Macaca mulatta: one gene and its partners. The protein of the gene in region 7 purifies or fractionates together with the protein of the main gene of each other region. This does not show direct contact. Links are inferred from orthologs where the notes say so. Each region holds a gene or a part of one and is shown on either strand. Other genes may lie near its edges. The genes, in order: FOXO3, DNMT1, ZEB1, BRINP1, RECQL4, HIC1 and SIRT1.

The links.
Region 1: the proteins of SIRT1 (region 7) and FOXO3 purify together in Homo sapiens (affinity purification with western blotting; 4 studies listed by BioGRID and IntAct, with this or other methods). This does not show direct contact. The link is inferred for Macaca mulatta from reciprocal best matches to the Homo sapiens genes SIRT1 and FOXO3.
Region 2: the proteins of SIRT1 (region 7) and DNMT1 purify together in Homo sapiens (affinity purification with western blotting; 3 studies listed by BioGRID and IntAct, with this or other methods). This does not show direct contact. The link is inferred for Macaca mulatta from reciprocal best matches to the Homo sapiens genes SIRT1 and DNMT1.
Region 3: the proteins of SIRT1 (region 7) and ZEB1 purify together in Homo sapiens (affinity purification with western blotting; 4 studies listed by BioGRID, with this or other methods). This does not show direct contact. The link is inferred for Macaca mulatta from reciprocal best matches to the Homo sapiens genes SIRT1 and ZEB1.
Region 4: the proteins of SIRT1 (region 7) and BRINP1 purify together in Homo sapiens (affinity purification with western blotting; 6 studies listed by BioGRID and IntAct, with this or other methods). This does not show direct contact. The link is inferred for Macaca mulatta from reciprocal best matches to the Homo sapiens genes SIRT1 and BRINP1.
Region 5: the proteins of SIRT1 (region 7) and RECQL4 purify together in Homo sapiens (affinity purification with mass spectrometry; 3 studies listed by BioGRID). This does not show direct contact. The link is inferred for Macaca mulatta from reciprocal best matches to the Homo sapiens genes SIRT1 and RECQL4.
Region 6: the proteins of SIRT1 (region 7) and HIC1 purify together in Homo sapiens (affinity purification with western blotting; 4 studies listed by BioGRID and IntAct, with this or other methods). This does not show direct contact. The link is inferred for Macaca mulatta from reciprocal best matches to the Homo sapiens genes SIRT1 and HIC1.

What each region holds. Positions count from the first base shown.
Region 1 is NC_133409.1:13,664,448-13,668,695, reverse strand, and holds the start of FOXO3 (forkhead box protein O3), read right to left. Parts: upstream 2,801-4,248; 5' UTR 2,547-2,800; intron 1,476-2,546; 5' UTR 1,357-1,475; coding exon 739-1,356; intron 1-738. UniProt on the Homo sapiens protein: Transcriptional activator that recognizes and binds to the DNA sequence 5'-[AG]TAAA[TC]A-3' and regulates different processes, such as apoptosis and autophagy.
Region 2 is NC_133424.1:10,861,736-10,865,235, forward strand, and holds part of DNMT1 (DNA (cytosine-5)-methyltransferase 1), read right to left. Parts: intron 1,886-3,500; coding exon 1,788-1,885; intron 1,584-1,787; coding exon 1,436-1,583; intron 6-1,435; coding exon 1-5. UniProt on the Homo sapiens protein: Methylates CpG residues. Preferentially methylates hemimethylated DNA. Associates with DNA replication sites in S phase maintaining the methylation pattern in the newly synthesized strand, that is essential for epigenetic inheritance.
Region 3 is NC_133414.1:32,703,297-32,707,383, reverse strand, and holds the start of ZEB1 (zinc finger E-box-binding homeobox 1), read right to left. Parts: upstream 2,801-4,087; 5' UTR 2,782-2,800; coding exon 2,724-2,781; intron 821-2,723; exon of another isoform or gene 492-820; coding exon of another isoform or gene 485-491; intron 1-484. UniProt on the Homo sapiens protein: Acts as a transcriptional repressor. Inhibits interleukin-2 (IL-2) gene expression. Enhances or represses the promoter activity of the ATP1A1 gene depending on the quantity of cDNA and on the cell type.
Region 4 is NC_133420.1:38,972,841-38,976,340, reverse strand, and holds part of BRINP1 (BMP/retinoic acid-inducible neural-specific protein 1 precursor), read right to left. Parts: intron 1,951-3,500; coding exon 1,845-1,950; intron 1-1,844. UniProt on the Homo sapiens protein: Plays a role in neurogenesis and brain development. May suppress cell cycle progression in postmitotic neurons by inhibiting G1/S transition.
Region 5 is NC_133413.1:154,940,644-154,944,879, reverse strand, and holds the start of RECQL4 (ATP-dependent DNA helicase Q4), read left to right. Parts: upstream 1-1,436; coding exon 1,437-1,697; intron 1,698-1,762; coding exon 1,763-1,796; intron 1,797-1,905; coding exon 1,906-2,000; intron 2,001-2,223; coding exon 2,224-2,364; coding exon of another isoform or gene 2,365-2,371; intron 2,372-2,646; coding exon 2,647-3,420; intron 3,421-3,517; coding exon 3,518-3,644; intron 3,645-3,944; coding exon 3,945-4,076; intron 4,077-4,159; coding exon 4,160-4,236. UniProt on the Homo sapiens protein: An ATP-dependent DNA helicase which unwinds dsDNA with a 3'-overhang in a 3'-5' direction. Does not unwind more than 18 bp of dsDNA. May modulate chromosome segregation. The N-terminal domain (residues 1-54) binds DNA Y-shaped DNA better than ss- or dsDNA.
Region 6 is NC_133421.1:3,604,560-3,608,568, reverse strand, and holds the start of HIC1 (hypermethylated in cancer 1 protein), read right to left. Parts: upstream 2,801-4,009; 5' UTR 1,933-2,800; coding exon 1,611-1,932; intron 779-1,610; exon of another isoform or gene 541-778; coding exon of another isoform or gene 504-540; intron 183-503; coding exon 1-182. UniProt on the Homo sapiens protein: Transcriptional repressor. Recognizes and binds to the consensus sequence '5-[CG]NG[CG]GGGCA[CA]CC-3'. May act as a tumor suppressor. Involved in development of head, face, limbs and ventral body wall.
Region 7 is NC_133414.1:81,881,658-81,885,869, forward strand, and holds the start of SIRT1 (NAD-dependent protein deacetylase sirtuin-1), read right to left. Parts: upstream 2,801-4,212; 5' UTR 2,735-2,800; coding exon 2,317-2,734; intron 1-2,316. UniProt on the Homo sapiens protein: NAD-dependent protein deacetylase that links transcriptional regulation directly to intracellular energetics and participates in the coordination of several separated cellular functions such as cell cycle, response to DNA damage, metabolism, apoptosis and autophagy.

The DNA of each region.
Region 1 (4,248 bases), on a different chromosome or scaffold from region 7:
CGGCGGGAGCAGATGGTGCAGCCAGTCTGGATTGAGGTGGCCAGATCGGCCGGTTCGAGGCCCCAGAACATTTCAGAAGCAGCTAGTAAGAAGCAGATTTACTGGAGCGACATCTCTGAGAAGGAAAGGTATCAATACAGGCAAGGAAAGGAAGCCGTCCAGGAAGAGGTTTGCAACCACTACTTTTTCTAATGGGATTGATGTGCCTGTAGGAGTTAACACCCACAAGCTGAAACTTGGACCCGAAGATTCAGCTAGTGACGACACAACATGCTCCTGCGACAGACTGGAAACCACACATCCAACCCCTCCTCTGGACACTGCGTCCCAAACACCCCCCCACACACACCTCTCACTCCACCTACAGCGCCCGCATCAGACCCCCACTACGGTAAACTCTACTCCAAAGTTGGCTGCAGACCTACCTTCTCGGCGCTGTCCTGAGAATCCAGCAAATGTACTCCAGTCCGTTCGCCCTTCCCTCGCCGGCGTCCCCTGCCCCCTCTCCTCACCTGGCCATGCCCTAGGCCTCTGGGAGCCTCCTTCCCCCCTCCGGGCCGTCCCCAGGTGCCCCTGCTACAGGAGTCAAAGAGAACACCCAAAGCCTCACAGTGAAGGCTCCCCCTGCCAACCCCTTGCCCTGGAGCCCGCAGGCGCGCTCCGACGAATCCGAGGGCGCGTCTCGCGCTGCGCAGGAGGCCCGGCGGGTCCTGCCGCCAGCCCGGGGTGGGTACGCACCTTCCAGCCGGCAGAGCTGTTGCTGTCGCCCTTATCCTTGAAGTAGGGCACGCAACGCACCATCCACTCGTAGATCTGGGACAGAGTGAGCCGTTTGTCCGGGGAGCTTTCGATGGCGCGGGTGATCAGGTCCGCGTAGGACAGGTTTCCCCAGGCGTTCCGCCGCGACGAGCATTTCCTCGGCTGCCCGGAGCCCCCAGCCGCCCCCGGCTGCGGCGGTGGCAGCGGCTGCTGAGGCTGCAGCAGCGCCTGTGTACCCCCGCTCAGAGCGCCCGCCGCGGTGGCTGGCCCAGACCCGGGGTCTTGCCCTCCGGGTGCCAGCACCCGGGCCGAGTCCTCAAGGAGCAGCCCGGAGCCCAGCGTGCCGCTCCCGCCGCCGCCGATCGCCATGGCCGAGCCGGCCCGTCCCCCGCCGTCCTCGTCGTCTTCATCGTCGTCCTCCTCGGGGATCATGGAGTCGGCGGCCGTCTCCCCCGAGGGCTTAGCAGGGCTCGCTTGGAGCTCCGGCCTTTGCAGGGGCCACGTACAGGAGCGCGGACGGCTCTGGGGCTCGAACTCCGGGTCCAGCTCCACTTCCAGCGGAGAGAGCGGGGCCGGGGAGGCCGGTGCCTCTGCCATCTTCGCCGCCCGCCCGCGGCTGGGGCTCTCGCGCTCTCCTCTCGCGCCGGGGCGGGGTGCGGCGGGGGAGGGACGTGGGCGCCGCGAAGGCTCCGGCTCCCGGGCGCCGCCGCCGCCGCCTGGGGAAGCACCAGAGGAGAGAGAAGGAGAGTTGGTTATCCCGGGCCGGAGCGCAGTCCTCGGCGAGTCCTCGCCCGCCGCCACTACCTCCCAGCCTTGCCGCGCCCGCCTCCCAGGAACAGGCGGACCTGGAGACGTGCGGCCAGCGAACCTGGCGCAGCAGACACCGCCCCCTGGCCAGGCCGCGGGGGAGCCGCGAGCGAATCGACGGCCTCGCGCGGGGCAGCCCCCTCCCCCCGCGGCCCGCCGCAGGTCCCTCCCGGGCTAGGCGGCGGGGCGGGGAGAAGGGGGAGGGGCGCCCGGGGGAGGGGCGGCCGCGCCTTTAAAGCGGGCAGCGGCCGGAGCTGGCGCAGCCGAGCGGCGGTCAGAGCCCGAGCTCGGGCGTGCGTGCGTTTGTTTATGTTTCGCTCGGGCCCGCTCTAGTGCCTTCCGCGGCGCCGCCGCTCAAGTCTGTGCTGTCTTCGGCTCTTCTCCCCTTTCCCGGCCCAGCTGCCTCCGCGACCCCCCGTCACCCCTAACCCGGTCGAATGGCCCGAGCCCGGGGACTGCGCGGGCAGCTCCCTCTCCTCTCTTCGTCCGCGGGGCGGAGGGCGAACGGGGGTCTGGGCGCAGATGGGCCCTTGTCACTTCCAAAAAATAAAGGAAACACGGAAAGAAGGGGAAGGAGCAGCCCGGCGGGCGTTCGCAGAGGGTCGAGCCCGGCAGGGACGGCCACTTCGGGATTTTGTGTGGTTTGCATTCTCGCGGACGTCGTCCCCTCCGCCCCCTTCCCAGTCGGGATCCGGGGGAGGGAGCGAGTCGGAACATAAATCTTCCAACAGGTCGGGAAGCGCCAAGTCTCCCGGGCTGCTAGAAAACCCGGACCAGCATGTTCATCACCTCCTTGCTCCCGCTGCTGCCATCTTGACAGTTTCCCCCTTCCCTTGAGTCCTTTAAAAACACTAGCGGGCGAGAAGGGGGGCGCGCACACCGCGGCTCGGGGAGGGGAAAGGGAAGCGCCCGGCCCAGCTCGGAAGCAGATCCGGAGTCACCGGGAAGGCGGCCGCCCGCTGCACGGCTCCGGCGCCTACCTCGCTTCCTTCCCTTCAGGGACGCGGCGGGACGACGCACGATCCCGCGCGGGCCCGGGGCACGGCGAGGAGGGGGCGCGCAACCTCGGCGAAGGAGGAGCGCTCGGGCCGTCGCCGCAGCCCGCCCGAGGAACCGCCTGTCAGCTCGCGCGCCGCCGCCTTCCACATTCCTCCTCCTCCCTTCCACGAGCAGGGCGGCCGCAGCAGCAGCACAAAGTTATAGACACACGCAGGGCGCCTCAACCTAAGCTGACGGCGGGCGGGCGGGCGGGTCCCCGCCCAGGGGGAGGGCTGGGCGGCGGGCTGGGCGCGCGGCGGGCGTGTGTGTGTGAGTGCGCGTGTGTGAGCTCGCGCGCGCCTGCGCGGGCCAGCTCCGCGGGGCTGCGGGCGTGGGTGTCCGGGAGCGCGCCGTGAGCCGGGATTCGGCGGGCTCCCGCTGCTGTCCCCGCTGGGCTCCTCCTCCCTCCCGAGAGCCCCAACGACAACAAAGCGCGGCGTTGGCCCGGGAGAGGAGGGAGAGGAAAGAGAAGCGGGAGCTGCAGGAGCGACAGCCTCCGACGCTCCAAGGAGCGCAGCGGCGTGGCCTCCCCGACTCCGGGCAGGGCGCCTGGTACCAGGGTCCCCGACCTGCGCGTCCGCCCGCCGGGCTCTGGGCCAGCCCAGGTGTCCGGTTCCCTGTTAGAACCCGACACTAGGTAACACCCGAGGTGAGATGCTGGGCGTGGATGGCAAGGTTTACCGCGGCGTGGAAATACTGAATGGCGAAGATGTTGGCGCCTGCACAACTTCGATAAGCTGATGCTCACAGATTCGATCAGGCACCAAAAGGTTTGCACTGAATCTCTCGCCTCGGACGGTGGACCACAGTCGTGTTTCACTTTTCATGTGTTTCATGGCAAACGGGGGAGAGGTGTAACTAACTCCGAAGAAATGCAAATTTACCCCTGTCCTACATTCAAGAGCAGATTCCGAACAATTGAGAAGGAGAAATAATTTTAATCTAATTTGTAAATGACGACAAAACCGCTACGTGTGCATTTTTGACTTTAAAAAAAAATACGTATCCTTTAGGTTAAACAAAAAACATCTGCACAAGTCCTTTTTCTACGATCCGTGCCCCAAATCGTTTATTTGTACTCTACGAATGCACTACACGCGACATGCACACCAAAAGTCTAGACACTAGTTCATAAATATCTTTTTTTAAAAAATCCTTGTAAGTCACCAGAGATAGCTCAGAGTCTAGAAGCGGGCTCCTCAACGACCCCATATACAAAAAGGTCCAGCCCAGCGTACACAGGAGCCAGCCCGCCCCGCCGCCTCCGGGCTCCGGGCTTTGCGCAGCTCCCGTCACTCAAGTGACGCGCGGCCCCGCCCCTGCACCAAGCTAGTTCGACGCGTACAAACAGATGATGTCATCGTCTCCACACGCGCGTGACCCCGGAGCTCTCCGCCGCGTCGCCATTCGCTGCGCGGCTTACTCGTCAAGGCACGCCGCGTGCTTACTGGCCGCGGCTACCAGTCTCCAGGCCCCAGACGCCCCTCTCCGCCCCCCGCCCCCGCCCCCCAGCAAATAATAAACAATCGAGTAAAATTCTAAGGAAGGAGAGAGAGGAGAGGGAAAAAGGGAAAGGGCGCACTAGAAACCAATCCTTCGCCCGCTGGCGGTGGGAGGGCTCAAGGGGGGACGCGAGAAGACAGC
Region 2 (3,500 bases), on a different chromosome or scaffold from region 7:
TCAGTCTGAAAATGAGAGCAGATGTTCAGGGAGGATCATTTTGAGGGTCTTTGCTGGCCTTGACCTGCATGGTTCTCTGTTACTTAATGTAAGACATGACTCCATTTCATCAAGAAGTCAATGAAGAGTTGCTGCTAAAGAGAACATCCTGTTCTACAAGGGCTTCAATAATAAAAAAGAAGAGAACATCCACCCTCCTCGGCCAGATGCTGTAACCAAGGGAACTCGCGTCCCTCCCACTTCCGCTCTGCCACTCGGGTCCCAGGATTTGATTTTAACAGCATAGCTCCCAACACCTCACCATCGTCTGTAAGGCCACAGCCTGAACCCTGGCCCCTGTCCTGCCTGTCACCCCCTGGCTCAAGCCAATCCAACTGCAGGGGCCTCCTTCCCTTTCTCCACCAAGGTAAGCTGACTGCCACCTCAGTGCAGCTCTCCCCCAGGTCTTGGTGTGGCTAGGTCCTACCTGACCTTCTCCATCTCAGCCCACGTGTCACCTCTGCAAGGCCTCGTGGCCCCAGCCTCCTCCCAGCCCCCTACCCTGCAGAGGTACTCATGCCATGCAACAGTACCCATGTCTGTCCTCCTGCAGGGGCTCAGCCACGGCCCAGGCAGCCAGCAGGCGGCAAGCCTCATGCTTAAGTGAACTGATTGCATCTTTAATTTATGGACATCAGAGAAGCAACACAGAGGATACTCACTCCTTTCTCTCACACTGTGGTAAAGGAACTGACCCTCAGTGAAGCCGATGACCACAGAACAACTGGGAGGCCATCTGTTGGTGCCCCCAAAAGACCCACCCCACGCCAGAGGGGGCTGTGACGGCTCTCTTGAAAACAAGCTATGAGGGGCCAGGCGTGGTGGCTCCCGCCTGTAATCCCGGCACTTTGGGAGGCTGAGGTAGGTGGATCACTTGAGGCTAGGAGTTTGAGAATGGTCTGGGCAACATGATGAAACCCCGTCTCTACTAAAAACACAAAAAAAGTTAGCCTGGCATGGTGGTGCATGCCTGTAATCTCAGCTACTCAGGAGGCTGGGGTAGGAGAATTGCTTGAACCTGGGAGGCAGAGGTTGCAGCGAGCTGAGATCATGTCACCACACTCCAGCCTGGGTGATAGAGCAAGACTCTGTCCCAAACAAAACAAAACACAAAAACAAGCTATGAGGGCTCACCTGCCTGACGCCCCTAGAACTGTGTCAAATGCCCATTTTGGGACATTAGGAGAACTGAGCCTTGTGGCCATACAAAAATGCCTTGCTGGTACTGAGCCACAGAACATGGTCTCTCGGCCAGTCCTGCTCCTCTCAGGGGCAAACAGGCAGGTTTCTTGGTGCTGGGGCTCAGGTTGACCAAGAGGTCAGGTTGGCAAGATACTAGGGGAACCTGCTTATCGGGAACATGGCAGTGAGCCGAACGAGGGGCTCCAAGGGTTACCTTGACGGCTTCTCCAACCCAAGAGATGCGATTCTTGTTCTGTTTCTTTTTCTTCCCCTGGTGCATTTTTTTGGGTGACGGCATCTCTGGGATGTTATCATCGACTTCCTCATCGTCATCTGCCTCCTTCATGGCCATATTGGGACACCTGCAATGTCACTGGTTATACCTAAGGCCCCTTTTCTAAGTAAGACCAACCAAGGCTGTTTTCGTCCTAACAGGGACAGGCCCTGAGACAATGCCTAACGAAGGAATCCTGGTGCTTTCCCACACACGCGGGCCCTTCTCCACAGTGCATCCGCCACCAGCTGGCAAGTCCTTTGCCACAGGAGGAGGACTCGGCCCGACCTACCTCCGCTCTTGGCAAGCCTGCTTGCTCCGTCCACTGCCACCAAATTTAACCATGTCCTTGCAGGCTTTACATTTCCCACACTCAGGCTGCTGACACACCTAAAAAATGGTATTAAAAACGCAAATCAGAGCCGGGCACAGTGGCTCATGCCTGTAATCCCAGCATTTCAGAAGGCCAAGGCAGGCAGATCACTTAAGGTCAGGAATTCCAGACCAGCCTGGCCAACGTGGTGAAACCCCGTCTCTACTAAAAATACAAAGATTAGCCAGGTGTGGTAGGGTGTGCCTGTAATCGCAGCTACTTGGGAGGCTGAGGCAGGAGAATTGCTTGAACCTGGGAGGTGGAGATTGCAGCGAGCCAAGATCACACCACTGCATTCCAATCTGGACAAGAGTGAAACTCCATCTCTCTCTTTTTTTTTTTTTCTTTTTGAGACGGAGTCTCGCTCTGTCGCCCAGGCTGGAGTGCCGTGGCCGGATCTCAGCTCACTGCAAGCTCCACCTCCCGGGTCTACGCCATTCTCCTGCCTCAGCCTCCCGAGTAGCTGGGACTACAGGTGCCTGCCACCTCGCCCGGCTAGTTTTTCATATTTTTTTAGTAGAGACAGGGTTTCACTGTGTTAGCCAGGTTGGTCTCGATCTCCTGACCTCGTGATCCGCCTGTCTCGGCCTCCCAAAGTGCTGGGATTACAGGTTTGAGCTACCGCGCCCGGCCGAAACTCCATCTCAAAGAAAAAAAAAAAGGGGAAATCATACAGCCCTTAGTAACAATGAGACAAATGATGAATTAATACTTTTAGGTCTCAAAAAATTTTAAAAATAAACAAAAAAGGTGAATCGTGGCCCGGCACGGTGGCTCATGCCTGTAATCCCAGCACTTTGGGAGGCCAAGGTAGGCAGATCATGAGGTCAGGAGATTGAGGCCATCCTGGCTAACATGGTGAAACCCCGTCTCTACTAAAAATACAAAAAAAAATTAGCTGGGCGTGGTGGTGGGCGCCTGTAGTCCCAGCTACTAGGGAGGCTGAGGCCGGAGAATGGCATGAACCCAGGAGGCAGAGCTTGCAGTGAGCTGAGGTCACGCCACTGCACTCCAGCCTGGGCGACTGGGCAAGATTCCGTCTCAAAAAAAAAAAAAGGTGAATCACAAGCCCTTAGTGACAATCAAACAAACAGTGAATTAAGACTTTTAGGCTAGGCATGGTGGCTCATGCCTGAACCAGTATATTGGGAGGCTGAAGCATATGTAGATGGATCACTTGAGTCCAAGAGTTCAAGACCAGCCTGGGCAACATATTAAGACCCCCATCTCTACAAAAAATTAAAAATTCGCCAGGCGTGGTGACAAATTCCTGCAGTCCCAGCAATTCAGGATGCTAAGGAGGGAGGACTGCTTAAGTTCAGGCATTTAAGACCAGCCTAGGCAACATGGCAAAATCCCATCTACAATATGTTTTTTTTTTTTAAGTAGCTGGGCATGGTGGCATATACCTGTGGTCCCAGCTACTTGGGAGGCTAAGGTGGGAGGATCACTTGAGCCCAGGAGGTTGAGAATGTAGTGAGCTACAGCCATGCCACTGCACTCCAGACTGGGTGACAGAGCAAGACCCATCTCAACAACAACAACAACAAACAAGAAGACTTAAAAATGTGCCTGTTTGGCCAGGTGCAGTGCCTCATGCCTCTAATCCCGGCAGTTTGGGAGGCTGAGACA
Region 3 (4,087 bases), about 49 Mb from region 7:
CGTTTTGTGCTAAACAGACGCAAATCTGTTTTTCTAATATTAAACACAAAGGAAAAACACTGACATCAAGCATGGTAAATAAATCCCTCCCTTGAGAATGAAAGCAGCAGACAGGAGGGGGCTGACATACATGCAGGAGAAAACTAAACACCATCTTTTTTCTACCTGCACAAGTTGCCATTTGCTGCAGCGATCAAGAACCTCTTTTTCTTCTTGATTTCAAGTACCTTTCAGGATCGCTTTTCCCCCCTTAAGTCATCTGTTGATATGCCTTACAAGTGTAATATTCATATCACAGGATCTTAAGGAGAAAAATCCATTCTTTCCTGTTCAGGTAAACATGTTTACAGCAGCTGCACAGACGCTGGGTGGTTCAGACTCACATGTCACACACATGTCGTCAGCAACAAGAAAAGCCCCTTTCTCTGGCGATCAACATTTTAAATAAGGTAAAAAGCGAACAGCTCTTTCCGAACCAACTTACCTTTCATAAAGCCACATCAGCAACAGCGGCAACAGCTCAATATAGAACACACACTATTTGACGCTAAAACAGGAAATTAAAATTGCAATAGCCTATGCTCCACTCCTTGCTATAACAAGTCATCTCTCCACAATGAGGATACCAAAATACCTTTCGATTATAATCAATATACGTCTTTAAAATGCAAGTGTTTATTTGAATAATTAAAATCACTCATGAAAGCAGTGATTTTAATGTCGACTCGAATATATTAAAAACATATTTATGGATTGAAAGGAAACATCTTGAAACAGCTTAAAAATCTTCGTATCTGCTTCTAGACAGGAAATCCCACACAAAATCTAAAATTGCCAGGAAAGGTTACAAAACCTCGCGTTTCGCATCCCAGAGGGGAGGGAGAAAGGGAGCCCAGGCGCGGGGGGTGGGGCGGGGGAGCAAGAGAGAGTTTTCTCCTAAATACGTATTTCCTCGTTTTCTCGACGCTGCAGCGGTCCCCTTATAGACGCATTTATTGCCCCTCTCTTAAAAGTCGTTTTAAAAATAACGCAGGAACCAAAGCGAGCCCCTCGGTCCGAAATGTACGTGTAATTCCTTATATAGCCTGGGCTGCGGCCGGCGGCAGGGCCGTTGCCGCCCATTATTATACAAACAGGTACCCGGGCGGCGCTGGCGGGGGCTGCTCTCCCCGCGCTCCCGCCGCCCCCGGGCGGACAAGTCTCGCCCCTCTCGCCACAGGAACTGTCCAGACAATAACAATCAGCAGACATTTCCCTGCTGCACGAGAGGGAGAGAAAGCACAGCATCGCCCCGAGATAACCAGAAATACAATCAACTTACAACTCTCCAAACTGGAAAAGGCGACTGTGCAACCACCACCACATGTTCAGGTCTCGATCCCTCGGGCTGTGTGTCTCTCTCTCTCTCTCTTTTTTTTAACTCTCACGCCAGGCAGAGGGGTGTGTGTTTCCCCTGGCACAGCAGCACAAATCAATAAACACTGCAGCTGCGGCGCGAGTAGCAGCCCCGCGCGTCCGTCGGTCCGTCCGCCCCCTCCCCCCACCCTCCTTCCACCCGAGACCCAGAGCGCCATCCAAGCCCCATTATCCGGCTTCAGCGCTCCGTGCGTCCGGCCCAGGTAACAACTTCCCCAAAAAGCGAAAGAGAAAAGCGAGAGGCGCACGCACACCGGCCCATCCCGGCGCAGAGACCGCGTCTGCCCCGGGAGGGGGATCTGTCTGTGGTGCTTCCCGGTCTCTAAGCCCAGGTAACAACTCCGCAAACACACCCGCCGCCCAGCTCGCCTCCATCCGCGCGGCTCCCGGTGGCGTTAAGTAGGTGCCTTTCCTGCCCTGTCCCCGCGCCTCCCCGCCGCGCCCCGCCAAACGTGGACCCCAATCGCGGGGCTCGTAGCGGAGTCCCCAGGCCGGGGCTCTGGGCCCGGCGGCGGGAGGCGCCGGAAAGGAGGGGCGCTTAGGCACCCGCGCCCCCGCCTCTAATCCCCGTTCCGCGAGCGCGCCCGGCCCGCGGGTCCCAACTTTACCGCCGCCGGCCAAGCCCTGTCCGCCCGCGGCGCGCACCGCCGGCGCCCGCGCACACGCGCGCACGGACCCCACGCAACCCGCGGTCGTCCCGTCCCGCCGCCGCCCGCCCGCCGCGCGCCCACAGCCCGGCCCGAGTCGCGGGGCCCGAACGACGGCGCCAGCCGGGGCCGCGGCGCGCGGAAGCCACTTTGCACGGTCAGCGCCGGGCACAAGTTTGTTCTGCGGCTCCCGGGTGCTTGGGCGCTGAGGGAGAATCCCGCCGAGGGGGCCGGGAGGAAGTGCAGAGGGAGGCGCCGAAGGGTACAAGAGTGGGGAAAAGTGCCGAAAGAAGCAACAGCCGCTCCACCCGGGACCAGAAAAGTGGCCAGCGCGTCCCGGCCGCCCGCCCTGCGCCGGGGATGCGGCGGCGCCGGCGGCGGCTAACGGTCCAGGGAGGCGGCAGGGGCGGCTGGAGCCGCTAGGCGGAGAGAGACCAGGTAAGAGACATAACGGTTCAGGGAGAGCGAGCGGCCGCGGCGCGGCTCCGGCAGCGACGGCAGCGGAGGGGGGCAGAGAGCACTACTTTCTACTTTCCCACTCCACTTTGCCGTCCCTGCCCCGGCCGCCCCCAGCCCGGCTCGCCCCTCTCACCCCCGGGGGCGCCCCGGCTGCCCGGCTCCCCCTGACTCCGCTGCTCCCCGGTCCCCTCCGCCACTCACCGTTATTGCGCCGCGGGTTCGCCTGCTTTCTGCGCTTACACCTGGGGCCATCCGCCATGATCCTCTCGCTTGTGTCTAAATGCTCGAGTCACCTCCTCCCCCTCCCTCCCCCTTCCCCCCCACCCCTCCGCCTCCACCCCTCCCCCCTCCCCACCGCACCTGGTTTACGACACTCCCGGCTTTACGACATCACCTTCCTTACACCTAGAGGCGCTCGCTCTACGGCCGGAACCTTGTTGCTAGGGACTGGGCGGTTTGCGGCAACCGTGGGCACTGGTGAATTTGAATTGAGGGGCGAGGGAAAAGTTTTCCTCAGGTGTGGTGGGGTGAGGGAGGCGGGTGTTGGGAAACCGTGGGGACGTGGTCAGAAAGGCGACGGGCTGTCGGAGTTGGAAAGGTAAAGTTGGAGGCTCGGCGGCGTCCTGCCTCCGCGCTGGCCACACCCGCCGCGGCTGCCCTGGGCAGGGAGAGATCTGGCTGATTCTCTCTGGACCCTGTGCCCTCGGAGCTGCCCCTCCGAGCGCCCAGAGGTCCCCGCCTGCCTGCTTCCTGGAGGCAGGGCTACCATCAGTCCCACGCCTCGCGTGTCAGCCCCGCGCACCCCGGGGCCAAGGAAAGGGATCGCGGTCTGGACTCCCCGGGGAGTTCCCTTGAAGAGGGGAAGGGCAGTTTCGGGGACGGCGAGGACATGCGGCGCCCGGAGAGAGGCTACCTGACCCGCGCAGCCCGGACTCCCTTCCCTTCCCTTCCAGGGACGCCCGGTTTCCCCCCAAGCGAACCAGGATGGGAAGTGACTTCAATGAGATTGAACTTCAGCTGGACTGAAAGAGAGGCTAGAAGTTCCGCTTGCCAGCAGCCTCGTTAGTAGAGCGGAATGAGTAATACCCACACGGTGCTTGTCTCACTTCCCCATCGGCACCCGGCCCTCACCTGCTGTCACCTCGGCCTCCCCCACCCGGTCCGCCCTCCCCGCCCTCCTCCTCGCGTAGATCCCTGGGATCCTAGGCGGCAGGACTCAGAGCTAAGCCTGTATCCACAGGCCATGAATTCCTTCCTAAATGAGCGGTCATCGCTGTGCAGGACCTTAAGGCAAGAAGCATCGGCTGACAGATGTGATCTCTGAACCTGACAGATTGCTGATTTTATCTTATTTTATCCTTGACTTGGTACAAGTTTGGGGATTTCTGAAAAGACCACGCAGATAACCACAAATATCAAGAAAGTTGTCTTCAGTGTTCAGTAGAATTTAGATTTAGGTTTCCTTCCTGCTTCCCACCTCCTTCGAATAAGGAAACGTCTTTGGGACCAACTTTATGGAATAAATGAGCTGTATGCCAAATAATATAGTTATAAATTAACAATGT
Region 4 (3,500 bases), on a different chromosome or scaffold from region 7:
AACAGGGTAGGGTTATGCTCCATGTATTTAAGTTTCTAGTGTGTTGTGTTTTGTTATTTAATAGTAAACCACTTTCTTGGCCCGAATTTCCCTGAGGAATTTTCATTCACTGCCCTCAAGTGACACTACCAAGCCCTCCATGCATGTTAGAAAACAGGAGATGCTTTCTAACCACCTTCTGTAACAGGAGCATGAATCAAAGAGTTGCCAAGGAACCAGAATATAAAAGTCACATTAGGCTCTTCTTAGCTTTACCTGCCAATCTCAACCCAACTTCCTCCCACTGACATTCAGAATCACCTTTATCATATACCTTTCTAAAAGGTCACATTTTTAGTCTGCTCAAAGTTAAAGTATGTCATTTTTTTTTCAGATTATAAAGTTAATATGTGATCATTGTAGAGAAGTTAGAAAAGAAACTAGATGCCTAAAATACATCATCAGCAACCTAGAGATCCAGAGATAAGCTATTCTAATACCTGGGCATATTTCCTTGCTTTATTATTATTATTATTATTATGAGGTGGAGTCTTGTTCTGCTGCCCAGGCTGGAGTGCAGTGGCACGATCTTGGCTCACTGCAAGCTCCACCTCCCAGATTCATGCCATTCTCCTGTCTCAGTCTCCCAAGTAGCTGGGACTACAGGCGCCCGCCACCATGCCCGGCTAATTTTTTGTATTTTTAGTAGAGACGGGGTTTCACCGTGTTAGCCAGGATGGTCTCAATCTCCTGACCTCGTGATCTGCCCACCTGGGCCTCCCAAAGTGCTGGGATTACAGGTGTGAGCCACCGCGCCCAGCCATTATTATTATTATTATTATTATTATTATTATTATTGAGACAGAGTCTTGCTCTGTCACCTAGGCTGGACTGGCAACGGCGGGATCTCGGTTCACTGCAGTCTCTGCCTCCCAGGTTCAAACGACTTTCCTGCCTCAGCCTCCTGAGTAGTTGGGACTACAGGCGCACACCACCACACCCAGCTAATTTTTGTATTTTGTAATTTTGCATTACTAAATATTTAATAAATTTTGTAGAGACTGGGGTTCACCATATTGGCCAGGCTGGTCTTAAACTCCTGACCTCGTGATCCACCCACCTCGGCCTCCCAAAGTGCTGGGATTACAGGCGTAAGCCATTGCACCCAGCCTATTTTTATTTACCTCTTTAAATTATTAAGATCATGCCATCCATTCCATCAGAAACCTTTTATTTATTAACATTATATCAAGTTATTTTTACATATTATTGGAAATTCTTTATAAACATCAGTACCAGTTTAATATTATGTTGTATTAATGCAATATAATTCACTTAGACTTCTCATGTGAAAAATTGAAATCCTTACTTTTTTTGATATAATACATTATGCTTTTTAAAAACAGTGCTATGTGTACTTAAAGCCTTGTCCAACTCTTCCCAGCAATCTCCTCTCCTTTTTATGATGTGAATTAATAAGGATGAAATTACTATTTTAAAGGATATATTTTCTTTAAAATAATGTATATGGAGCCCCAAACATAAACTTGACATATGCAGACACCAAAGAAATACAGATATTTATAAATACAAACAAGTTAATTAAAGCTCACATTTCCTTACTTTCTATCTGAAAACTAATTAATAATCATGAATTTAATGTCCTGCATATGATAAAATTCTAAATATATATGTACACACCTATCATAACTGTCTAATTTCCATATCTGCAGTTTTCATTAGATTTTCCATGCTTCCTCTTCTTTGTTCTCCCTTCACACCATCCCTCCTGATCCCCTCTCCCACATACCACATCCATGCTGCTTCCCCCAACACTGAACCCACTTTTTCCACTGGCTTCCTACCTTGAAGGTGCAGTTTGCTCTCCGTGCTTTGCAGAAGGACGGAACTCACAGAGTCCAGATTGTCATAGCTGTTACAGCCCAGAGGCCCAGTGCGTGTCTCTGTGACCTGCAGTAGACATCAAATGAGACAGGTGTGAGACAGGAGTCCTTGTCTAGGACATGCCCCGAAGAGTCATGCCCCAGCAGAGCAGAGTCAGCAGAAAAGGCCTCCTGGTTTGAGTCCATAGTCACTTTCTGAGCTCCGTGCTTGTGTCTGGGACCAACCACGGCTGTCACTGAGTAGACAGGCTAGCAGGGTGGTCAAGCATACAGAGTGCATGCCTATTCCTACCACTGGTTCTCACTTCACACGGTGGCTGCAAGTATGACATGAACTTAAAAGTTGACGCACTATATTTCAAAAGCATTGACTTTGGAATCAGAAAAATTAGTGTTAAATCCTGGCTAGGCCATTTACTTACCCTGGGACCTAGGGGAACCAATTAACCTCTCTAAGTATCTGCAAACCAAAGCTAGTAAATCTCTTCCAGAGAGGTTGTGAGACCAGGTACGATGGGTCTAAATGCCTGGCACATGGCATGTGTTCCATAATGGGTACCTTATTACCAAACGGCTCCGTAAGTTGTAATGAGTACATATATATTATTATTAGGCAAGAATAAGAAAATGATGCCCATTTTCCTAAAGAAGATTTAGCAGAAGCATTGTGCTGCCACAGGAGAAAATGACCCAATCCTGTGGATGTGCATTTCCAAAACACTGTCTTAGAAAGACTTGAGGTGGTGGATAAGAGAGCAACAGCTATTCAAAAAGATAACCTTGAAATAAGAATGGCTTAGTATGAAAAGAAGCCTCTTCATTTATTTAGTCTTTGCTTCCCATTATTTAGGGTTGTTTTGAAGTTTGCATCCAGCTATAAAAACACAGCATCCGTTGTAGGGAATAATGACTTGGGAGGCAGCCACACGCACCTTCTCTGCCCTTTTCCAGCTGTGAAACCTTGGATCAGTAACTTTCTCTTTCTAAGCCTCAACTTCCCCTTCTATAAAATGTTAGTAATGCTATTAGTCATCAAAATAGGGTAAAGAGATTATATTTTTGAAGTGTTTCAAACTTAGGGTACAGTAATATTTAGTAAATGGGGAATAATTAGGTTTTGTATTTTTTGTTTTGTTTTACAAATAATTTATTTTTATATACAAAATAATAACATATTTATTATTGAGAGAGAGTTAAACTTACCATTTTATTTTCCTAAAGATACCTATGGTGGGGAGAACAGTGAATGGGCAAAACTTCTCCATCTAGGTTAGTGGCTGGTCTTAAATAGACCCAGGCCAGCTGTGGTAGCTCACGACTGTAATCCCAGCTCTTTAGGAAGCCAAGGTGGGCGGATCACAAGGTCAAGAGATCGAGACCATCCTGGCCACATGATGAAACCCAGTCTCTACTAAAAATACAAAAATTAGCTGGGCGTGGTGGCGCGCACCTGTAGTCCCAGCTACTCGGGAGGCTGAGGCAGGAGAATTGCTTGAATCTGGGAGGTGGAGGTTGCCATGAGCCAACATCACACCATTGCACTCCAGCCTGGGTGACAGAGTAAGTCTCCATCTCCAAAAGACAATAACAAACCAAAAAAAAAAAAAAAAAAACAGA
Region 5 (4,236 bases), on a different chromosome or scaffold from region 7:
CTTGCAGGGCCCCCCATGGGTACTTCAGGCCTCCCAAATTACAAAGCTGCTTCACAAAACCTTCTTCGAAACCTGAATAAAGTCCAGGCCTCTCCCCACCAACCTTCATCAGCATTAACGTTGACGGGACACTCCAAGGAGTCAAGCAGCCAAATCACGTTTCCCTCCCCTCTCCTCACAGAGGCTCTCCAGGGCTACCCTGGGACTCCACAAAACAACAAAGAGCTGGAAGCACAGATGCAGCTTCATAAGCAACAGGGCAGGTTGAAAAGACCGAGACCTAGGGAATACTGAGTCCAGATGATGTAGCCTATGAAATCCAAGCCTTCAATATAAGCCCCCCCCAAAAAAACTATTCTCCAGAGTGTCACCAAGCACGAAGACCCCTGAAAGAAAGCAACCTTCACCTTTGGTGGCTCTTACCAGTGGCCTAAAACCTCTCCCTCTTCCCTGGAGAGCCACTGTGGAAAGAACAAGTCTTAAGTATGTGGGATTCGGAAGGTGCAAGGCTACAGATTGCTCAGACAAGGCAAAGAAAGCTGCCTAAGCAGCACTCAAGCTGCAGAGATGCGCGCGAACACTCCCAAGGCCACAAGGTACCTGTGACACAGGGTGCCAGCCCTGCTGCTGACTGCAGCATCCTCAAAACTAAATCGCAGCCATCTCCCTGTGACAGATTAGAAAATGAAGGCCTAGGCCTGGCCCAAGGTCACAGCCTGAGTGACAAGTCAGGGAAGGGGTCTAGGGAGGACACTCTGGCCCCAGGGCCCTTGTTTTTGCACATACAAATAAGTCCTTAAAGAACCGCTTCCTGAAAAGTCCCAGACACCAACCCTCGGTCTCATTCTGAGATCTCAACGGTCATACCTCGCTCTGACAGGACAGACCAACCGAGCACCTGTCACGGGAGTACACGAAAGCAGACGGCCTGGCCACCAAGGGAGGCAGGCACCTCCGTGCGAGGCCCCCGCCCCTCCCGCCGGCCACGGGGAACGCGTCGGCCCTCGGCTGCCTGCGTTTCGAAAAGACGCCCCCGCCCGGCTCCTCTGGGCCTCCAGTCGCGGGAGGCGCTGGTCCCTCCGCTCTTTCTTGTCCCGGGCGGGGCCTGCTCCTCCAAGCCAGGTGCGTCTCCCACCAGGGCCTGACGCCGCTCCGACCGGCCGGGGGACTCCCAGTCCTTCCCGGCCCGCTATGGCACCGCCCGGGCTCCCGGCTTCGGCCCCGGGCTCCCAAATGCAGCTACTGCCTCCCTCAGCCGGGCCGCCCCGAGCGACCGCTGCCACGCCCCTTGCGGCCAGGCAGGGCCAGGGACGTACGCCGCCCCACTCCGACCCCCGCCTGGCCGCCCGCGCTCACCGGTCCCGCAGCCGCAGCCACCGCCTCCGGCCCCGCCTAGACCGTCCGCCGCGCCCCGCACGGCGCCGCGGCGCCCCGCGATGACGTCGGCGCCCCCCATTGGTTGCTTGTCCAGGGCCCGGCGGATTGGCTGCCTAGTCGCGGTGGCCCCGCCCCCGGCCCGCCGCGCGCCCGCATTGGCTGTTGGCCCCATCGTCTGCGGCGCGGGAGATTCGCTGGGCGGCCGCTGGACTGCTCGGAGACCTGGCGGGCCCGCCATGGAGCGGCTGCGGGATGTGCGCGAGCGGCTGCAAGCGTGGGAACGCGCGTTCCGGCGGGAGCGCGGGCGGCGGCCGAGCCAGGTACGGGATGCCCTGGGGCCGAGGGGCTGAGGGCGCGGCCCGCGGCTGACGCGTTCCCTTTACAGGATGACGTGGAGGCGGCGCCGCAGGAGACCCGCGGTGAGCGCGCGGCGGGGTGGCGGGGTCCCGGGTCGACGGAGGCGGGAGGACGCCAGGTCGGCGGGGGCCCAGGCTCCACCCTGACCCCGCCTCCCGCCCGCCCACGCAGCGCTCTACCGGGAGTATCGTACTCTCAAGCGGACCGTGGGCCAGGCCGGCGGCGGGCCCCGCAGCTCCGAGTTGCTCCCCGTGGCCGTCGAAGAGGTATCCAGGCCCCGCCACCCCAGCCTCCTCCCACTTTCCTGTTTGGCGGAGTGGCAGGAGCCACGGAGTCGCGGCCAGGCCTCCGTGGGGCACAGAACTTGGGAGGGGGACTGAGCAAAGTGAAGACGGGCCGGGCCTCGCTCCAGGTGTGAGGGGGTGGGTGGGAGCGCCTCTGCTTCCACACCAGCCTTTTTCTGGCCTGCGCCCCTACTGTCTCCTGCAGGCACCAGAGTCCCACTGCTGGGGGCCCCACCTGAATCGGGCTGCAACCCACAGTCCACAACATACGCCAGGGCGGAGCTGCCAGGGGTCGGTGCCGGACTACGGGCAGCGGCTCAAGGCCAACCTGAAAGGCACCCTGCAGGTGAGGAGTTAGCAAGCAGTGAGTCCACACTAGGTCCAGAGGTGCTTCTGGCCCGGGGTTCTTTCTTGTCACTCTTTCCACACAGACAGGCACAGGCTCCTGTGCCAACCAGGGCACGAGTCTCCACGGAGTTTCTCGGGGCCTTCGCCCTTGACTCCCTTTCTAGGCCAGCCTTGTGCTAATTAACCTGTCTTACCATTGAAGGTGGGAACTCAGGCAGGTTTCAGAGTCTACAGAAGCCCAGGGGCCTGAGTTTCTGCTGCCATTCTGTTCCCTTCCCAGGCCGGACCAGCCCTAGGCCGCAGACCCTGGCCTCTAGGAAGATCCTCATCCAAGACGCCCACCCCAAATCCCCCAGGCACAAGGCCTGTCCCCACCTTTGCAGAAAAAGTCAGTGATGAGCCTCCACAGCCCCCTGGGCCCCAGCCAAGGCCGGGCCAGCTGCAGCACCTGCAGGCATGCCTGAGCCAGCAGCTGGCCTCCCTAGATCTTGACTGGTTACAGCGATGTCACAGTGAGATCCCAGACTTTCTGGGGGCCCCCAAAGCCTGCAGGCCTGGCCTAGGCTCAGAGGAATCACAGCTTCTGATCCCGGGTGAGTCAGCTGTCCTTGGTCCTGGTGCTGGCTCCCCAGACCCAGAGGCTTCAGCCCTCCAAGAAGTCAGCATCCGTGCAGGGAGCCCCCAGCCCAGCAGCAGTCGAGGCAAGAAGCAGAGACGGAACAAGGAGCTCTGGGGGAGCCCCGCACAGGTCCAGCAGCAGAGCAGCCAGGCTGGACCCCCATCGGAGGGGGCTGGGGCTGTCGCACTTGAGGAAGACCCTCCAGGGGAACCTGTACAGGCACAGCCACCTCAGCCCTGCAGCAGTTTGTCGACCCCCAGGTACCACAGATTCAGCACCTCCAGTCAAGCTAGGGCGGGTAAGGCTGAGGGCACAGCCCATCTGCACATCTCTAGGCTGGCCCGCCATGACAGGGGCAATTACGTACGGCTCAACATGAAACAGAAACGCTACGTGCAGGGCCGGGCACTCCGTGGCAGGCTCCTCCGCAAGCAGGTGAGACGGCGATGGACTGGGACAGGCCCTCCCTTTCCCTCCCCTCAGCACCCCTGCATGTCCCACCCAGTGACCCTCCTATGTGGGCACCCTTCAGGCATGGAAGCAGAAGTGGCGGAAGAAAGGGGAGTGTTTTGGGGGTGGTGGTGCCACAGTCACGATCAAGGAGTCTTGTTTCCTGAATGAACAGTTTGATCACTGGGCACCCCAGTGTCCTCAGCCAGGTGAGACATCTGCCCTGGAGGGTGGGTCTGGCCACCACTGTGGAGAGGGCACGGTACTCTTTTGGGCGACACTTCTGTTCCAAGCAAAAGACCTTCCAGGTGCCCCTGGTCCAGGCCCTACCCTGGCTCCCCCAAAGCAGGGTGGCAAGGATGAGGATGGGTGTCAACCTTTTATGCTTTAGAAGAAGTAGCACAGAAGAAGGGCACTGCCTGCTGCCAACCCCTTTGGGGAAAGAGAAGGTTGTGGCCAATGGTTGTTTTGCTTGGAGCTCCCATTCCACCTTCTCTTGCCTGCCCCAGTAAGTGAGGAAGACACAGACCCTGCTGGCCCTGAGCCGCTGGTTCCTGCACCACAACCTGTGCCTGGGGTGCCCGGCCTGGCCTCCACCATGCTGCCACTCTACTCCTTGGGGCCCTCAGGGCAGCTGGCAGGTAAGCAGTCAGCTGCTGGCCCAGAGCCTTTACCGAGGGGTTGGTGTGACTTAAGTCATGGTGGTCAACACCTGTGTCTGCAGAGACGCCGGCTGAGGTGTTCCAGGCCCTGGAGCAGCTGGGACACCAAGCCTTCCGTCCTGGGCAGGAGCGTGCAGTC
Region 6 (4,009 bases), on a different chromosome or scaffold from region 7:
CTTGAGGTAGGCGCTGCTGGCCGCCAGCACGTTCTTGTGCGCGCGGAAGAGGGCGTTCTGCACCACGATGATCACGTCGCACAAGAAGCCCTTGGTGCGCTGGTTGTTGAGCTGCAGCAGCAGCTGCCTGGAGTGGCCGGGCGCCTCCATCGTGTCCAGCATCGTCTGCCCAGCACACTCTCCTGCGGGGACACACACCGGCCGGGTGAGAGCCGTGCGGCGCCCTGGCCGCCTGCCCCCTGCCCGGCACTTCTCCCCCTCCAGTTCCCCTTCCTCAGCTGAGCGGGGGCATCAGCCCTGCGGCCTGGGCACCGGCGAAGGACCGGCCGCCCTCTGGAGTGGGAGCCCAGGCCGGCCCGCCCGGACCAGGAGAAGGAGCGGGAGGTGAGCGACCGCCGGTGGAGGGGAGGCCAGGCCGGCCTGCATGCCCCAGGGCACCTGGCTGGGTGCTGGGGCTTCCGAGAAGACTGTTCAGGCGAAGTGACCCTTTGGGAGACAGTTACCCGATTTAAGTAAAATGTCCGCTTCAGGAAAAGTCATTCAGGGCGGAAAAGTTTGCCCAAGTAGGGAGAAAGGGAGCCGAGGAACCAGCGCCTCCCGCCTCGGGAGAAGTTGCCCCAGTTGGGGGAAGTGATTCGGAGGAGGGGAGCGCGGTGCCCGCCCTGGCGCCGCCCTGGCCGGGGGCTGTCAACCCTTGGTCGGGGCCCGGGCGGCGGCCGCGCGGGGAGCGGAGGCAGCGGCTGCCGTGGCGGGCAGAGCGCGAAGGCCGGGCCCGGCGCGGGGAGGGCGTTATATCGGGGCAGGAGGCTGAGGCAGGAAGCAGGTGGGGGGGAGGGGGGAGCCACGCAGCTCCCAGGGGAGGGAGGGGGCAGCGCCCCGGGCGGGCACGGCGCACAGCCGGCTGCGGCCCTGACCCGGGCCTGCGCCCCACCCGCGTCCCGGCCTCGGCCTGGGCCCTACACGCGCGGGCCCGGCGCCTCCCTCCGCGGCTCCCCCGGCCCCTTCTCCCCCGGAACTCCGCCGCCCCAAACTTGGGGAAAAGTTTTCCAACTGCAGACAGGGCGGGAGGAGTGCGCCGGCCCCAGGCCCTCGGCTCGCAGCTCTTCCTCGCGGCCCCCAAATCCGGCGGCAGAGCCCGGAGCGGAGCCCTGAGCTCCCCTGCCCGCTGCTCGCCCGCCCGACCCCGTTCCTCTCCTGGCCCGCGGGGCCCCGCGGCCCGTTACCTGCGGCCCCGGAGGGCCGGGCTCCCCTCCCCGCGGCGGTGGCAGCTCTTAGCCGATGCCCCACCCGCCGCTGCCAGGCCCCGAGCTGTGCCAGGGCAGCGCCCCTGCCAGCCCCGCCCGCCAGCTCCCCTTCCCTTCCCTTCCCCTCGCCTCTCCAGCCCATGTGCGGGCACAGCCGGCCCCGGGCCGCTGACCCCGCCGTGAACCCGGCGCGGAGCCGCGGCCCGGCGGTCCCGAGTCCGACAGGGACGACACCCGGAGCCCTGAACGCCAGCCGCCAGCCGCGATGGGGCACCCGCGCCAGAGGATGCGCCCGAGGCGGCCGACGCACGAGGACCGGGCTGTCTCGGGCCCCCGTCCCTCCCGGTCCCCGGCTCGAGGACCCACCTGGGGGGCATGTCGAAAGCCCCGGGCCCGGCTGCCGGCGGATCCAGGGGGGATGTGGCTGCGCTGCCCTCCGCCCGCCGGGCCCCCGGTCGGTCTGTCCTGCTGGTCCGTCCTCCCCGCGTCCTGGTCGCGTCTCAGCCCCGCCGCGCTTTCCGCACACTCTTATCTGGAGCGGCCCGGGCCGGCGGGCGCTGCTGCAGCTATAGCGCCACCTCGCGGGCGCGCGGGGCTCTGCGGGGCAGGCCGCTGCCTTCCTCCCGCGCACCTGAGCTGGAGGCGCACAGATGCTGAGCCGGCGGGGAGGGGCCCGGGCCCACCCCATCCGCAGGTTCGCCCTCCCACCTGTGCCCACCAGGGACCCCGACCCCGCACAAGCGAGCCCCGGAAACCCTGGGGCTTTGAGCTGAGCGCTCCCGTGTACGTATTTCTAGGCTCACAGCCCCAGTTCGGAAAAGTCCTGCCCGCAAACACCGGACTCGGGTGGTGGAGGAGAGGTTATCCTGGGCAGGAGTAGCCAGGCTCTCCTGGAACTCTCCGTAGACATTACTGTACACAGCACTGTCCACTTGGACGCACTCCCCAACACACCCACCCTCACTCAGGCGCATGGATTGGGTGTGCGCGGCATAAACCGGTTTGTCCCCAGCCCTCTCCAGGCACTGGTACTAGCAGGCGCGCACGTTTCCAGACGCACACCCGCCCCTTCCCGCGGCCCTGGCGCTCTGGGATACTCCAGGGGCAGCCACCTGGTGCCCTCCGGGAACCTGGGCAGAGGTGTTACCCACACAGCCCGCCCTCAACTTTCGGGTCTCCTAAAGGAACCCACGACGAGTCATCAGGGCGACTGGAAATGGCTGGACAGCGCCTCCGGGGGTCCGCAGAAGTAACCCCGGGGCCCTAGAATCCCCATGTACGCCGTTTTGAAGAATCCCACGTGAACTTTTTCTCCAACCCACCCGCCCGAAGGAAACAACAGGGGCGCCTGCGGCTGGGACCCCGCAAGGCCCCGCACCCCACGTGAAGGTCAGGTTTGTGTGGGTGACGTCTCTTCTGGGAGGAAGGGGACCCCGAATGGCGCGCCGCTGCCCGCACTACTATTCCGGAAGTGGCCCCGTGCGGCCCCGCCGCGCACCAAGCCTCCTGCGAACGCCGGATCTCCGCGGCCCACGCTCCGCCTCCGCCCCGCACCTCCTGACCCCCGCCCACACGCGGCGTGGAGGGGGGGGGGGTCCCCGAGAACTCCGCCGCTTCTGATTGGCTGCGCCTCCCTCCGCCGCGGAGCGCGAGGGGCTGGGGCGCAGCGTTACCATGGCAACCGATGAGGTGCGCCCGAATCCCGTCCCTCTGAGGCCTTGGAGAGCTTAGCAACCGTGCTCGCCGCCCCCCGCGCTGTCCTCTGGCCCTCATGGCCCCGCCAGAGGTACCGGCTGAGTCACCCGGCGAGGGGCAGCGGGCGCGGCTACCAGCGGCCCCCGAGCGACACCAAGGTCTCGGGCGCCCCCCGGAGGCTCCCTTTGCAGCGCAGGCGACTTCACCGCTTCGGTGCCTGGCGGAGGCTTCGGTCCAAACGAGTCCGCCCCATGTTCTGGATCCATCTTACCCACGCCCTCTCCCATGTCTCCTCATAGCATCCTCACTTTAGAAGCAGTGAGGTCCCAAAGAGGAAAACGGAGGCCTCCGGAGCTGCCGGTCTCTAGGGAAGTCGGACCCCGACATCTTGGCCGAGGGATGTGCGGCGGCCTGAGGTGGAAGTTACGGAAGTTACGGAGTGCTGAGGGGAGGTGGAGAGGCTCCTCAGAAGTGCTCCTAGAGCTGGGCTTTGACGGATGAATAGGAGTTCTCCCACCGCGCAGGAAGGCATTTGTGAATAATAGAACCCGTGGGACAAAGGCTAGCGGCAAGAAAACGGGAGCTCTAGGAGGCTAAATCCAGACTATGCAGGGCCTCTCTGACCCCATCTCTTTTATCTTTTCTCCTTTTGATAGAGTCAGATCCCCCCCACTTCCAAAGAGCCCCTCCGTCCCTTATATCTTTGTGCAGTGGAGTCTGTGCATTGCTAACCTGCCTCAGGGGTCTGCCGTACCCACAGTCTTTATTCTTCAGCTCCCCAAGTTATCTTACTATCCCTACCCCCCATTCTCAAGCCCTAATTGCATCTGTAAAGGAGGGTCTCACAGTCCTGCCCCAGCCCAGGCAGTGAGAGTACCTCCTTGCCCTCCCGTGGACTTAATTCTTCGACCCTTCTCTCCCTGCCCCGCTCTTCCGGCCATGCCATGCACAGCCCTCCCCATCCTGGTCCAGCTCCTCGTCTGAACACTCTCCTCCCATTTAGACCCTTCCTCCATCTCGATGGAGCCAGGCTGGGCCAGGACCATGCATTTCCCTGCTCCCAACCAGGG
Region 7 (4,212 bases):
TCCCAGCACTTTGGGAGGCCGAGACGGGCGGATCACGAGGTCAGGAGATCGAGACCATCCTGGCTAACACGGTGAAACCCCGTCTCTACTAAAAACTACAAAAAACTAGCCGGGCGAGGTGGCGGGCGCCTGTAGTCCCAGCTACTCGGGAGGCTGAGGCAGGAGAATGGCGTAAACCTGGGAGGCGGAGCTTGGAGTGAGCTGAGATTCGGCCACTGCACTCCAGCCTGGGCGACAGAGTGAGACTCCGTCTCAAAAAAAAAAAAAAAAAAAAAAAAAAAAACAGAAAAAGATAGCCGGGCGCGGTGACTCATGCCTGTAATTGCAGAGCTCTGGGAGGCCAGGGCAGGTGGATCACCTGAGGTCGGGAGTTCAAGACCAGCCTGACCAATATGGAGAAACCCCCATCTCTACCAATAATACAAAAAGTAGCCAGGCATGGTGGCTCATGCCTGTAATTCCAACTACTGAGGAGGCTGCGGCACTAGAATGGCTTGAACCCGGGAGGCGGAGGTTGCAGTGGGCTGAGAGGTGAGCTGAGATCGCGCCATTGTACTACAGCTTAGCGAAACCCCGTCTTTAAAAAAAAAAAAGAAAGAAAATAATCTAGCTAGAATGTATCAATCACAAACAACAGCGTTAGTGAAACGTGTAATAAATGGGCATTTACACAAAAATGTCATTCAAATATAACCTTGGCAATGCGCACGTTAAACTCTCACATAATACTAAACAGGTATCTCTGCATTGTTTCTTCTATTAAACAGTATCAATAACACTATTATTATTAGATAAATAATAAATTAATATTCAACGGTGTTGCTTGAAATCAGGGTCTCTTTACTAAACCAGTCCCTAAAAGCATATACTACTTTTTTTTTGAGACGAGGTCTCACTCTGTCGCCCATCCTGGAGTGCAGTGGCGCGATCACAGCTCACTGCAACCTCAAACTCGGGGGCAATCCTCCCACCTCAGTAGCTGGGACTACAGCAGCTGTGCGACACCACGTCCGGGTTTTTCAATTTTTAGTAGAGAGGAGGTCTCGCTATGTTGCCCAGGCTAGTCTAAAACTCCTAGGCTCAAGAAATCCTCCCGCTTTGGCCTCCCAAAGTGCTGGGGTTACACGAAAGAGCCACCGCGCCCGGCCTGACCCAAGTATTGATAAAGACGAACACATATCAAGGAGAGAAACTCCTCCTTGAGAGAAACAAAAATATGAAACCTGACGGGGCACGGTGGCTCACGCCGGTAATCCCAGCACTTTGGGAGGCCGATGCGGGCGAATCACGAAGTCAAGAAATCGAGACTATCCTGGCCAACATGGTGAAATCCTGTCTCTGCTAAAAATACAAAAATTAGCTGGGCGTGGTGGCGGGTGCCTGTAGTCCCAGCTACTCGGGAGGCTGAAGCAGGAGAATAGCTTGAACGGGACAGGCGGAGGTTGCGGTGAGCCGAGATCGCGCCACTGCACTTCAGCCTAGCGACAGAGAGAGACTCTGTCTCAAAACAAAACAAAAAACAAAAAACCTTGAAGAACATGACAATTGCAACATATCTGCTTCATTATGCTAGAAGTGTTAAACGTGTGTATCATTACTACGTACAAAAAGGTACGCTTGGCCCAAACACCGTTACCGTACAAGAGCAAAATTAGAATAAAATATGAACTGCTCTAAAAGTACTATCACTCTCCCATGCCTACTTCTAACTGCATTACAGAATTTTAATATCTTCAGAAACAGCCATGTTCTTTAAATTTTGCAGGCTGTGACTACAGAAACAGCTTTCCTCTTTTAAAAATTGTAACTTCAGGCATAAAAATATAGACCTTCAAAAAAAAAACAGCAAACTGCACAGGTGTCAGCTTACAAAAAGCAATTGAAAACGCCGACCAACGGGACAGCCAAAAAGTTGCAGACTTAAGTGTGTTGGTGGGTGAAGAAAAGCAAATGAAAAATAAAGAAGAAAAAGGAAAGGAAAAAAAAAAAGCTCTAACAAAACCAATATGCTAAAAGAGTAAGAGGGTGAGAGAAACTTATTTTAAAGTGACTGCGAGAGTCTCCCGACCTGGCTGCTGCGCAAAGCGCAAGGCCGCCCAGGCGGGTCACGGACGGAGGAAAAGAGCAAATCCACCAGCAGCTCGCGCAGCAGGAACGGCAGCCCCGGAGGAGCGCAGCTGAGCGAAGGGCCGTGGTGGGGAGGGGAACGCCGCAGAGCCTGCCCCGAGTCGCCGGCCGCCCTCAACCTCACACCAGTAGGAGCCCGGGGAAAGGGAGGAGGAGATGCGCAGTTCCGGCCGCCCGCACCCTGCGCACCTCGGTACCCAATCGCCGCCGCCGCCGCCTCTTCCTCCTCCTCGCCCTCGTCGTCGTCGTCTTCGTCGTAGAAGCTGTCGGCCAGCGGTGGCTCCCGAGATGGGCCCTGCAGGCCCGGCCCATTGTCTCCTTCCCCAGCCGCCGCAGTCGCCTGGGCCTCTTGCTCCCCGCCCGCCGCCGCCGCCTCTGCCTCCCGCCACAGCGCCGCCGCCGCAACCGGGCAGCCCCCGGCCGCCGGCACCTCACGCTCTGGGGCTGCCCCACCGGGCTCGCCCGGGCTCCGCTCGAGGCCAGGACCATCTCTCCGCGGCCTCTTGCGGAGCGGCTCCCCGGCGGGGGGCGACCCGGCCTCCCTCTCGGCCCCCGCCGCCGAGGGGGAGCCGCCGGGCTGAAGGGCGAGGGCCGCCTCGTCCGCCATCTTCCAACTGCCTCTCTGGCCCTCCTCCCTCGCCTCCTCTGCTCCCGCTCGACGCGCGGCACTGGCGCCCCCGCGGCTCCGGCTGCGGGAGATTTAAACCCCGTCACGTGACCCGCCCCATCGCCGCCCCCGCCCCCTCGGCGCTCCCGCCACCCACGCGGGCCAGACCACAACACTACGGGTCACGTGACGGGCGGAGGCTGTTGCATCTACCCCTCCGCCTGGGCTGGAAGCACGCTCGGCCCCGGCGGCCGCGGCCCTGCGCCTTTGTGGCGGGCGTGTAGTGCAACCAAATTCGCCCCTCGGCCGCTTTTTGAACTTCTCTTTGAAACCGACCTCAAATCACTACCGCCTGAACAGCTCAAGTTTTGGTCCGCCCTGGGAATTTCCACTTCTACCTGAAGTGTACACCTGGCCTGCCTTAGCGTTGTCTAGCTTTAGCTAAGGGTTGAAACACAGCTGAAGCTGGCTAAGGACTTAGCTCCCTGAAATACGCTGGATAGTCGTTCTGTTTTGTTAATGGGTAGGAATAGAGGCAAAAGGAGAAGGCTCCCTTCCCACCCTCCTCACACCGTTCTGACAGCTCCTCTTTAGCTCCTTTTTCTGCTCCTAGCTTCTCTCCTTAGTTGCTTTTTCTCCTCTCTCCATCACTTGTAGGGTGGTATAGATTGTCACATCCTGGGAAGACCTTTGACTTGGAGGTTTGGAGTTCAGCCGATCTACTTTCTGGCCCCAGATTGGCTTCAAACGTGTGTGAATTCCCTCCTCTGGGCCTCAGTTTTCTCACGTGCAGAATGGGTTTGTTGGGTCGGTATGAGGAGAGCTCGGGAAGAAAATGGCTTGGCCTCCATGGACATCTGCTCTTGGTTAAAATTTGGAGTCCTTCCTTTCTAGCATGAGCTATCTAACCTTTTCTAAAGTTAATTTTTCTCATGTCTTAAATTGTAATAATGAAGTACTTTAAAAGGTCATAGATTTAAATGAGATAACCAGATGTAAAATCAGGGGTACCTAGTAGTTTAAAAGGCTTAGTGGAAAGCCCTTCCACTTTCCTCTCTCCCTGAAATTCTGGGACACTGTGACTCCATATCTAACCTTAACTGAGGACCCATATAACCCATGGTAGATCTAGAGCCGGTGTTTGTTATGGCATCTCCCTGGAGCACAGCCTTTCTATCTGTTTAAAGGACCTCTATGAGTTTATGGTACACTGTCCCTTAAGCCGAGCGTGGGTTCTGGCCATACTGCATCAATTACTTGCGTGACTTTAGGCAATCAACTTAAAGCTGTTTCTTCATCCTTAAAATTAAAAAAATTAAAAATAGAATGTTGGAAATATATCACTAAGGTCCCATCTGCATCCAAAAGTCTTATTTCATCTGGTCACCACTATTCATTTCTGAAAGTGATCATCTCTAGTCCTAGAAGCCTTAAACCCATCTTTGGGAGCGTGGGGGACAAGGGGAGGGAGAGCATTA